Linked DNA regions of Tribolium castaneum. The main gene of each other region encodes a partner of the protein of the gene in region 3 in a complex. Links are inferred from orthologs where the notes say so. Each region holds a gene or a part of one and is shown on either strand. Other genes may lie near its edges.

What was found.
Region 1: Strump (region 3) and wash share a complex: the UniProt entries of both Drosophila melanogaster proteins name them as parts of the WASH complex. The link is inferred for Tribolium castaneum from reciprocal best matches to the Drosophila melanogaster genes Strump and wash.
Region 2: Strump (region 3) and CCDC53 share a complex: the UniProt entries of both Drosophila melanogaster proteins name them as parts of the WASH complex. The link is inferred for Tribolium castaneum from reciprocal best matches to the Drosophila melanogaster genes Strump and CCDC53.

The regions. Positions count from the first base shown.
Region 1 is NC_087403.1:4,501,324-4,504,585, reverse strand, and holds wash (WASH complex subunit 1), read left to right. Parts: upstream 1-1,196; 5' UTR 1,197-1,297; coding exon 1,298-2,380; intron 2,381-2,438; coding exon 2,439-2,627; 3' UTR 2,628-2,676; downstream 2,677-3,262. Other genes in the region: adenosylhomocysteinase-like 1, read left to right, coding at 27-33; uncharacterized protein LOC103314773, read right to left, coding at 2,717-2,759, 2,810-2,958, 3,005-3,057, 3,102-3,201. UniProt on the Drosophila melanogaster protein: Acts as a nucleation-promoting factor by activating the Arp2/3 complex to induce actin polymerization. Participates in both linear- and branched-actin networks.
Region 2 is NC_087402.1:711,092-715,375, forward strand, and holds CCDC53 (WASH complex subunit 3), read right to left. Parts: upstream 2,832-4,284; 5' UTR 2,701-2,831; coding exon 2,650-2,700; intron 2,590-2,649; coding exon 2,425-2,589; intron 2,354-2,424; coding exon 2,115-2,353; intron 2,065-2,114; coding exon 2,022-2,064; 3' UTR 1,942-2,021; coding exon of another isoform or gene 1,804-1,941; 3' UTR 1,758-1,803; coding exon of another isoform or gene 1,584-1,757; 3' UTR 1,416-1,583; coding exon of another isoform or gene 1,413-1,415; 3' UTR 701-1,412; coding exon of another isoform or gene 596-700; 3' UTR 595-595; downstream 1-594. Other genes in the region: acidic leucine-rich nuclear phosphoprotein 32 family member B, read right to left, coding at 596-700; RpL36A (large ribosomal subunit protein eL42), read left to right, coding at 1,413-1,415, 1,584-1,757, 1,804-1,941. UniProt on the Drosophila melanogaster protein: Acts at least in part as component of the WASH complex which may regulate wash nucleation-promoting factor (NPF) activity and is required for its membrane targeting during endosomal sorting.
Region 3 is NC_087394.1:25,600,799-25,604,453, reverse strand, and holds the end of Strump (WASH complex subunit 5), read right to left. Parts: intron 2,078-3,655; exon of another isoform or gene 1,937-2,077; intron 1,734-1,936; coding exon 1,504-1,733; intron 1,455-1,503; coding exon 1,008-1,454; intron 957-1,007; coding exon 751-956; intron 701-750; coding exon 547-700; intron 501-546; coding exon 344-500; 3' UTR 270-343; downstream 1-269. UniProt on the Drosophila melanogaster protein: Acts at least in part as component of the WASH complex which may regulate wash nucleation-promoting factor (NPF) activity and is required for its membrane targeting during endosomal sorting.

The DNA.
Region 1 (3,262 bases), on a different chromosome or scaffold from region 3:
GCCGATTATTGATGTTTTCGTTTAAGGTATTAAAAATATAAAGTTTTATCCATAATAAACGGGGTGAAGGAATAAAGGAACACGGTAGCATTAAGTCAATGTTAGTTGTTGCCAGATAGTTTAGCTATAATAAATGCAGGATTGATCATTTTTTAATGGTTGCTCAACCAATTCATGTTTCATAATTTTACTGAATCAAAAGTATTATTACTTAACACAAACAGTATTTTTTCTGCTAGTATTTATTTACATATCTCAGGATTTTATGAAACATTAATTGTGAAAAAATCGTTACGTTGTTTCAACTGTTGATTCATGGGTAAGGCTTCTGATCTTATTTAATTTTAATAAAAATTGGCGCAATGTTGAAACGCCTTCCCGTGAATAAAAATACGTTACTTACATGTTTGAAACAAAACTCGTGCATATGTAATCACTATCAGGTCTAGTATGTCATTGTTTTAGTTGTATTAAGTTACGTACTTAACTCGTTCTGGTTTTATTAATGGATTTAATAAGTGTATCTGATTGATTTTGTGATGAAGTCCAATGGTTTGTTTGTTTTGTCTCATCCCAGACGCTAGTCCAGTTGAATTGATACGCTTTTTATTAAGTAGTGCCAACACCCTCTAGCACTAAAATAATTTAAATGCAACCAGTTTGTTTAGCCGTTTTGACGTTAGTGATTTTGGAAAGTATTATTTTATAATGAGGATTTTTTACGGTCCTCCACATTTTAAATTATTATTGTTATTGTCAATATTACGACAAATTGTTACAAGTTAATTGCTCTACTTGAAGAAATTACTGAAGCAATTATACTCCACAATAACTTGCCTTTATCAACTTACAGCAGAGCAATCAACAACTCTTGTTAAGAAACCGGAATTGCGACTCTGTTTTTGAAGGCTGTTTTAAGGCTTTCAAAGACAGAATTGTCACATTTTTAAACGTACTTCTGTATACAAATTATCTTTAGATCTATATCTTTCTTTCGATATTTTATTTTAATCCACAAATCACATCATTCACAGCGTGACCCACGGGTCCGCCGTCTTCTTCTTTCTATGCCGTAATATAGAAATTAATACGTCAATGTGTTTTATTTTTATTCCTAAAACCTAAAACAATTTTTTGTCCTAACACAATTTGAAATTACTAGTAAATGTTAATTTATTGAGCTTGCGAATGGCGACACTGCTGTGATAAGATGACGTAAAAAACAAAACATAACCTGCAAAAAGTGTAGAGTGTAGTGTCATTTTTTTAATTAATTAATGTAGTTAGTTTATTTAAAATGAATCATGTTTACAAAGTACCTGTAATCCCTCAAAACTTGAATAAACAGGAAACAATCGTTCAGGTGGCTGAAGTATTAAATCATTTAACGAACGTAACAGATGACATATTAAAACATATAAATAACAGAATTGAATCTAGCAGAAAAAAGATATCAAACATATCCGAACGTGTCGATAAAGTGAAAATGAAAATAAACAAATTGAACGGTGCAAAAAAAGCAACACAAGTGTTTTCAAGTTGTAAATACCCAGCGTCCGATGTAAATCAACCCTATATTTCAATATTTAGCGACGTTAAACCTCCTGAATTAGTACGACATAAAGTGAAGCAGAAAAAAGCCCCATCAAACGATGAACATTTAGATAAATTGTACATCTACCACGTGAAACTCAAAAAAAATGAGAACAAAGAGACGTTCGGCGGCTTGGGGGAAATCCCCAAAGACTCGGAATGCGTAAACGACCTACTCCTCTACAATTCCGGCAAAAACCTCTACACGAATTTCGTAATGTCCGACCCTTTGGAAATCTCCCAACAAATCAAAGAACAAGACCACAACGACAGTTCGAGCATCGGGGCAGCCCCCTTCTCAATCAGCGAACGCTCAACCCTGACGCGCTCCTCCACCCAGAACTACTTCTACACCCCCAACTTGGGGGAAGTCCCGGCGCTCGACGTGCCCCTGGATCTGCCCGATTTGCCCAACATTGCCGACGACCTGCGGTACGACACGGAGTTGGGCCCCGGGATCGCCCCCTCAGTCACCACGACCCCGAACATCCCCGACCTGCCCACAATCGAACCCGCCAACCCCCAGCCCAAGGAGGACTTCCCCGAAATCGAACTCCCGCCGCCCCCAACACCCGCCAAAGAAATTGAGGAGCAAGTCCCAGAGAAGGTTGAAACGCCCAAACCGCCCACACCACCCACTGAACAGGTGGAGGAAGCCCCCAAAATCACCGAACTGCCCCAGCTGGACGTGCGGGCCAGCCTCATGGAGGCCATCAGGAAAGCGGGGGGCGCCAAAAATTTGAAAGCCACAAGTGCCGACAGGGAGCAAACGACGGCAAAACCCGTGGTTAGTTTTCGACTTTTGTTGATTGAAAAAGTTTAATAATTAGTTATTTGTTTTACAGACTGGGGGCGACTTGATGGCTGATTTGCACGCCAAGCTTTCCATGCGCAGGAAGGGCATCTCAGGTACTAAAAAGCAGGAAAGTTTGGACGCAAGTAGTGCGTTAGAAAAAATCTCGGCCATGATTCCGCCGCCCATTCGTAGCGAGAGCAACGAGAATAATACCGAAGACGAAGACTGGGATGATTAATTCATTTAATATTATATTTTATATCAATAAATATTATCATGTTACATAATGATTGTTTTCTTTACCCAATAAATTAATACAATTGTGCGCTAACTGTAGCAGGAATAACAAACTGCGACATTATGATCGTATCTAAAAAAAAACATTTAATTTTTTGAGCCACTCGGAACAAAGCCACTCACGTGGGAAATGAGCAATCGTTACAAAACCCATTACTGCATTTATGGCACATATTTGTGCACTGCAAACATAACGCGTGTTCACAATAGTTACAAATGACCCCCGAGGGGGCTTCTTTTGAACATACAGTACACATCAGTGAATGAGGTTCCTACAAATCAAATTAATAAAGTCTCACACCGATTCACATATTCTACCTCATTTTTCTCGCGTTTGGAGGCCCCCTTATATAATAACTGGAGCGTCCGCTCTGAAACAAATAATAAAAAACTGACATAACCTCAATGTGGTTACCTGACGACGATGAGCGAATTTTCCGCGATTTTGATAAACTATTTTGTTGTTTTTTCACCGGTTGTACGATATCGTAATCCGGATAAGGCCGTTTTGGCATTTTTTACTCTTAAATTACATTTCAAATCCTCACACTAGCGGCAAAAAATGTGGCAGTGCTG
Region 2 (4,284 bases), on a different chromosome or scaffold from region 3:
TTTTCATTCACAATTCTGATCCATGATGGATCTTAATCTTTGCCACTCGTTAGCGTAGCATCAAAAATGTCCAACTCTGTTGATTCCAGCGAGCTTTATGAGACGCTTTGCATTGAAAAACCGGACCAAAGTGGTCAATCTCCGGGTTATCGTGAAATTTGCAACGAAATCGTCAACTCGCACGCGGAAATCTTTCTAGAATCCGATGTTATTAAAATATTAGTGTGGCATCTAGCCTCGCACGAGGACGCCTCCAAGTTGCTATTGATTTCGCCATATTGAATCGAGCAAGCGATGCTAGCCTCAACCCGGGGTCCATTGTATATGGCGGGATGCTTTCCAAGCGTGTTTACACCGCATGCCATAATGAAAAACAGTCGAAAACACCATGGCAACAACAAATTTAGCATCGTATTGTCGCAAAGCCGCCTCCGCGCCGGGAAAAAGCCCCGTTCACATGGCAACCATCCCGCGGAAAACGCGTGAAAACGGCGTTTCCGCGCGTTTTCCACGCGAAAATCCCGACCACAACATCCAACGGCCATGTGACCTTATCGCAAAGCAGCGTAAATGCGAAAGAAACAGTCGAACTCACCTCCGCCGCTCGCTTCGTGCCTTTTAACTCGCATTTGGCGTCGGGCGCACTTTTGTCGTTGTCGATTTTTTCGACAGCAACTTCGTTATTTTCTTTCGAACTCATTTTGTTTATATTCCTGTGTGGGTTTCACGCTTTATCGAAAAGTGACGTTCACCAACGTTGAACACTACTGACCGGCTACTCGTTAGCTTTGTTCAAAAATTAAGATGGCGCCGCTCAAACCGATCGGCCCCGGACTTGGACGAGTGACCGGCTTTCGACTCCCTAAACTATTTATTCACACCAACCGCCAAAAACCAAAAGACAACAAATTCCAAGCTTTTTCGGTGTCTCGGACCCAAAAAACGTGCGCCAGATTTTATGAAATTAATTGCAAGGTGTTTGCTCATGAGGGTTCCGAGAGCACGGATTGAGTTTTACGAACCGGACCGAGATTAAAAACGTGGTTTGAGTATGCCACCGCCAGGGGCGCTCTTCAAAAAATTTCCCTCCACAATCACATTCATTTTATTATTATGCAGAAAAACAGCCGATTATTGACTCAATTTAAAAGGGAACTATTCGGCACGACTTGTTACCCACTAATTAAAACGCCTTTCCCTTGTGGCCGCAAAAATGCGTCTTAAAAACTTTTTCTTCTATTTTTCCTTGCGACCACGTGAAACGAATTAAAACTCTATAAACTTATAACGAAACACTTTTCTATCTTTCATCCAATATAGCAATTCAAAATTCGCGCCAATGTAAACGACGCATGCGCATAGTGTGACACGTTGCATCTCTCTCTTTTTTTTGCAATAAAGAAAATCCCAAGATGGTAAGCAGGTTTTCAATCAAATATCTCAAAAAATCGCAATAATCGGCCTTTGAATTACCGAAAATTTAGCGAATTCGTGCATTTGGCGTCCTTGGAAGGGCACATTCCTGTTTATTTTCGCGTTTTGAGGACGTTTGATGAATTGTGGGGTTATGTCATTGTTTTTAGGTTAACGTCCCGAAGCAGAGGCGCACCTTCTGCAAGAAATGCAAGGTGCACAAGTTGCACAAAGTCACCCAATACAAAAAGTCCAAGGAACGTCACGCTTCGCAAGGTAGGAGACGTTACGACAGGAAGCAGCAAGGTTTCGGTGGACAAACCAAGCCCATCTTCAGGAAGAAGGTATTTTTTTACCTACTTTGAGTGTGGGGCTATTGTGTGTTTTTAGGCTAAAACCACCAAGAAAATCGTGCTCAGGATGGAATGCACTGAATGTAAATATAGGAAACAGATTCCCTTGAAACGCTGCAAGCACTTTGAATTGGGTGGCGACAAGAAGCGCAAGGGACAAATGATTCAGTTCTAATTGTTTGACTAAATAAACACATTTTGTAAAAATTCATAACGTGTTTTATTTATACTTTTAACAATGTTTTTTTAACACAATTAATTAACCGAGGAACTGTCTTGCGTATCAGTTGATTTGGAACTAAAAAATAACGGACGTGTTGCTGATTCGCCAGTGATAGTAGTACTTACTCCAATATGCAAGGGTCAAGTCCCTCTGTTTGCATTTTCAGCTTGACAGCAGCTGGGGGAACCCCAAATTGCAACATTTTGAAAAAGCGTTGATATCGCGGGTCTGACGCAACATCAGGCTCTACCTCTACATTTTTTTCAATTTGCGTCTCCTCGTCTTTAACAGGAGGCAGATCTAAATCGTTTTGTTTAGGCGAGTCCTTTGCAGTGTTTTCTTCTAAATGCGCAATTGAACCTAACTAACACAACCGACTCACTTTTGCGCCAAATAATCGGAACTTAAGGCATTCTAGCATTGTTCAATACTTACTTGCGACTCAAGTATAAGTAAAGAAGCCTCAACTTCTTGCAGTTTGTACTCGAATTCCATCAAACGCGATTCACACGACTGTGCAAAATGGTTTAAAAACGACACCGTATTCATTACGAAATGATTGATAAAAGCAATCGTGCGCTTTTGTTGAATGGGTAAAATCTAAGTGGAGAAGTTGGACGTGATTGTTGCTCGAATGGGTCGCTTTTTTCAAAGACTTACCTGCGTGTAATCCACATTTGGATCAATTGAGGAAAGGTCGTTCACTTGCATTATTTACATTATCTGAGTGAAAAACACTCAAAATTAGGGGGAATCAAGGCATCGGCACAAGTTTATTGAATTAATTGGCTCCAAAGGGACACAAAGAACCTGAGTGACAGCTGTCAAAAGTGACGTTTGAGGTTAGATTGTGGCGAAAGGATCGCTTTTTATGCAATTAACAAACGCAAACACGCTCAATAAAACAGATTTATTATGCCAGATTTATAAAATAACATTGCATCTTGTAAAATATAAAAACAATCACAGTATAAATAAACTTGATATAGACTAAACTACAAACCTTAACAATTTTATAAGAAAACTATCATTGAATTTAGGGCGGTACACAGTACTGTTATATTTAATGTCAAATATTGAACTCGCTTTTGCATTACTTAGACTTAAGTAATGGTGGTTTCATGGAGCACCCTTGTACATATCACTAGCTTGGCAAATATTATCTAGCGCGCTATTGGCCAATCGCGTTAAACTATCAGTCATATTCGGCTCCTGGCGCCCCTCACTCTCGTCCATAAGCGATAGATTTTGGGTGAAAGTCTCTGACAAGTTATTTGTCTCAAGCATGCTTAAATCACCCGAGTTTAAGTCAATCGGTTTCAACTCCAATTGTTGATTGTCCAGATTTAATAAACTGCTTATACCACTTGGCGTTTCACTTAAATTAACACCACTGAGATCATTTTGGGCGGAAGGATTCCAATTCATGTTTAACATATCGCCGACTACTGAAGTCGAAGGCATATTCCAGTTCATCATGCCTCCGATTGGCGGAAGCACGTTCTGGAACAGAGGGGCTTCCGGGGGCGTGGGGGCCACGTAATGGGGCGACACGTTCGGGATGGGCGCCTCGAACATCTGCCCGCCGTACGGCGAAGGCGCCTTATCTAGAAAAAAACACTAAAGCGGGGAAAAATATAAAATTAAATTACCTCTGGGCTCGACTTTAATGCCTTCGGATGGAATGTTGAGTAGGAAGGGTTGGTGCGTCCCTAACAAAAAATCATTAATAAATTGGCCAAATCACAAATTAACTTAAAATCACGCAAAACTACTAAACAAACCAATTGTTAGCCAACATAAGCTCAACCAATTAATAAAACAAAACAAGTTATAAGAAAAAATCATGCAAAACATTCATGTACCTTAATTCCGGTGACAGTTGGCTGCAGCTTATGACGCAATGAAAGACTGTTTACTTGTAAAAAACTTTAATACTTCAGCTGATATAAAGATATAAAGCCTTTAGAAAACACTAACAATCTACCTTTAAACTTTCCAAACAATTGAACATCAACACACTTAAAATTGTATAACTTTGTGTAATAATTCCGATCACAGCCCCATTGATGGATGGGGGATTTCGATTTTGGGCGTAATAGGCGACATATCGCGGCTTTTTAATTTAAAAAAAGGTTAAAAAATTCAAATATAAGACATGAGCACTGTCAGTGTCACTTTTAACGAGCTAAAAATATACCTAGAGTAGGCTGTAACGCGAAATTTGACACATCAGTGACAGTTTTAATGTCAGATTATGACATAAAAGCAAGACCGCTCTAGATAAAATAACTT
Region 3 (3,655 bases):
TCACAAAATTCATGTTCAAAAGTCGTTTGCATTATGTACAGGTCGCTAAAAAGTATAAATATTATAAAAACTATCCATCAAAACTGATTGACATTTGGTATATGTTTAAAAGTATTTAAATTCTATTTCTATCTCCATTTGTTCTGGGAAAACAAGGCTAACTTATTTTTTTAATGGCAAGATGGATCAAATTTAATATTTTTAAAAAGAGTTTTTTTCTGTGATGGAACGCATCAATAAAATAATCAATGCATAAAATAACGTAATACTTTTTAGTGAAAAATTACATTTTATTAAAAAAATAACAGATGGCGCCACACAATGCGACCCCTAAATAATCAGTCTAGGAAGCAGAGGCGACTAGAGTTTGTTGTAAATGCAAAATTTCATCGGGAATTTCTTCTTTCAAACACTTTCGGGAAGACTCTGAGTAATTGGTGTACGTTTCCAGAAAACTCATAGCTAGTGACACCTCCAAAGGCAATTCGGTATTTTTTATACTGAAAAAATGCTTCAAACTTAAAAAACTCGACAAGTGTTACTCACCTTATGCTATATCTAGTCAACTGTACGACATAATTGGATAATAATTTGATGAAACTTTCGTTTAATTTATTATGGAATTGTTTGACAAGGGTGTGGATTGCGACAGTAAATGCGGTTCCGTCGATTTGATCCGCATTTCGTTTGTTGGCGTTTCCTAAAGTTTTAAGTTAATAAATCGATTAAGCAAGCAAATAAGTGTCTTACCTAACTGACGTAGAAAAAAAAGTTTACTAAAATGTGCAATCGCAAAAACGAAAATAGTAATGTAATGATTATCGTCAAACTTTGACGTGATGTATATTTTGTTGAAGGGATTATTCAGGCCCGAATAATCGAAATAATGCGATAGTTTGGACATGATGTCCTCACTTGGGGCACACTCGCCGTTCACAATGTCGAGTAACAAAGCCCTAAAAATTATTTAAGTCCTAAGAGAGTGAAAAAAAATCGAAATATTATACTTATTGAGTGAACGTAGAGACGATTCTAAATTTTTCGCATTAAACTTGCAGGATTTATTCAAATGAAAAGCGATTAAGTTCCTCAAAAGCTGCAATTGTCCGACCAACAAAATGCAATCAAGAAACTCGTTCCAAATTTTCGTCGTTCGATTAACACAGTTCTGGTAAAACTTGATGGGGTTGTTCACATTTTCGCTCCCGATCATATCTTTATGAATACTCGCCAAAACGTTATGCCATGCGTTCGTTTTGGCGTTTTTCATTTCCAAATACCCGGACAATTTTTGCAAATTTGAAATAATCATGAAGGAGAAGAGCCGGTCAAGGCCCACCAAGCCCGAAATTTCGATAGCAGACGCTACTAGAGCTATGGTTTCTTTGTTGAAGATTGGTTTGTGACTTTTGATGTCGTACCAAGTCGATGTTTGTTCGAGATAAACGGACTGTCTGGGAAAAAATTGGAGCAAATTGCACAATAATCGAAAATTTGACTCACTTGGGATCGGTCAATTTGATTATTTCGCGCGCTAATCGCCCGATGAAATTTTCGCTAGAAGAGTCCGTGCTTGGGTAGAGCGGGATTGGGACGTAACGGCTCTGGAAAGCGCTTTCCCAAGTGTGGATTTTGTTGCGCAAAAAGCCGTTGCATTCCTGCTCCACGTTGTAGTTGATGATTCGAGTCACTTCCTCTTGCCAGATTTTTAAACCGTTGATGTTGATGTAATCCTGTCCGAAAAATGAACAAAGTAGAACCAAAACTGGTATTTTTACACTTTCTGTACCACCACCACAACAAAAATTAATTAAGTTCTCGTTTTTGTTAAAGGAATTCACAATAACATGTTTTAAATCAGCTAGCAAATTTCAAATTGCGCGCTTCGACGAATCAGCCAATCAAGTGGCAGCGACGTGATGTCAAGCGTTAGTTAGTATGTGATGCGCGTCGTTTCCTTTAAGTTTTTCGTGTTTGCGGGTTGATTTTTGCGTGTTTTGAGACAAAACCAGTGAAAATTAGTTCGATACGGATTTCTGGAGCTGCTACGAGCCGTTTTTGAAGACAAGTAACTAAGGTTAGTCAGTTCTCTTTTAGGTTATATGTATGCAAAAAAATGTTGCGATGTCTTTAATTATAACAACGATAAGGATACATACTTTTTGCACAGAAAGCCCATCAAGTTTTGATTTTGTTGTTTTGTTGTAAAAATAACCTTGACACAGAATAAACATTCTCCCTGTGCAAGGATATGACTGATGTACAGTGTGATTTTTTAAAAACGAGCCACCCTGAATATCTCCGAAAATAAACAAAAAATTAAAAAATCACGAGACAGGGCAACATCACAGCCGAATTTCTGGTGTAAATACCTTTTATTTGAGGTATCATAAAGGGGGCTATGCCATTTAAAATTTTAAAGGAGTTGTTTGTACTACAAAGGGAGTTGGTGTTACAAGTTTAAAAAAAAAGTGTCCCCGTGAAAATGAAAATCAGGATTTTCTAATTTTTCTGAGATATTTAGGGTGACTCGTTTTAAAAAAATGTATTTATTATATCACGTGGAAAATGATATTAAATTAGTTTGCCTTTTTGGTAGATATAACTTATTTTCGTCTGTTTCATTCGATATCAGTTCGTATTTTGATTAAAAGATGCCACAAACTCATACTGATTTTCAAAAATAAAAAAAACTTAGCCGAAAAGGTGTCTTTGATAGGAATTCTCTATGTTTTTTTGTGAGATTTTGCTAAATACTATTGAAACTAAGAAAATGATTAATCATTTTTGTACTCTTTCTAGCCAAAATTACAAGATTAAGCAGAAAACGTCGTTAGGTTTGCTTTTTTCGATTACGTAAGCAAGTTTTTAAGTTTTCTCAAATTGCCTAAAAAAATCACGAAATTAAATCGAAAATGTAAGTTATTTGACGTTATTTTCTTCATTCCGGATTCTAGCTGATCTCTGTTCGAAAATTTATTTAAAAAAAAATCGAAAAAACAAATGTGGTAAAAATTTGTTCTTTACAACGCCTCGGCATATTAGAAAACAATTTTTTTGTTATCAGATTTTTTTGTTTTGTTTTGTTGTCAAAAATGATATCGAATTTGCTTTTTCTGAGCGTTATTCTGTTCAAAAATAGTGGTTTTGTTTTGTAAAATTACTAAATTTTGTTGGAAATTACGTTATTTTTATTTTCTATTTTCGTGTGTTTTCAGACGTTCGTCCGTTAGAAATACAATTATTTTACAAAATTTCGTAAAAAATTAGATAAAAACATGAATAAATTTGGCTTTTACACGTTTCTGAAGTAACCAAGTTTATTTTTAAGATCAACAAATAGAAAATCTGGTCAAAACATTTTCAATTTTTATTTGAGATTGTTTTGTTAAAATAATAAGATACTAGGTATTAATAATTAATTAAGATGATTAATCGTTCTTAAGTTAAAATTATCTTAATTATTTATCTATCTTATTTATCTTATGGTTTTTTCGAGTGTTTTTGAGCAATAAACGCAATTATGAGTCGAAGACAAATTCAGGACTGATGGTTGTACTGATGATTCTCCTCGATAGACATACCAATAAACGATATAAGCTGTCGTCTTATAGCATTGCAAGAATAGATTGAGTCTGTAAATATTGGGGTGTTG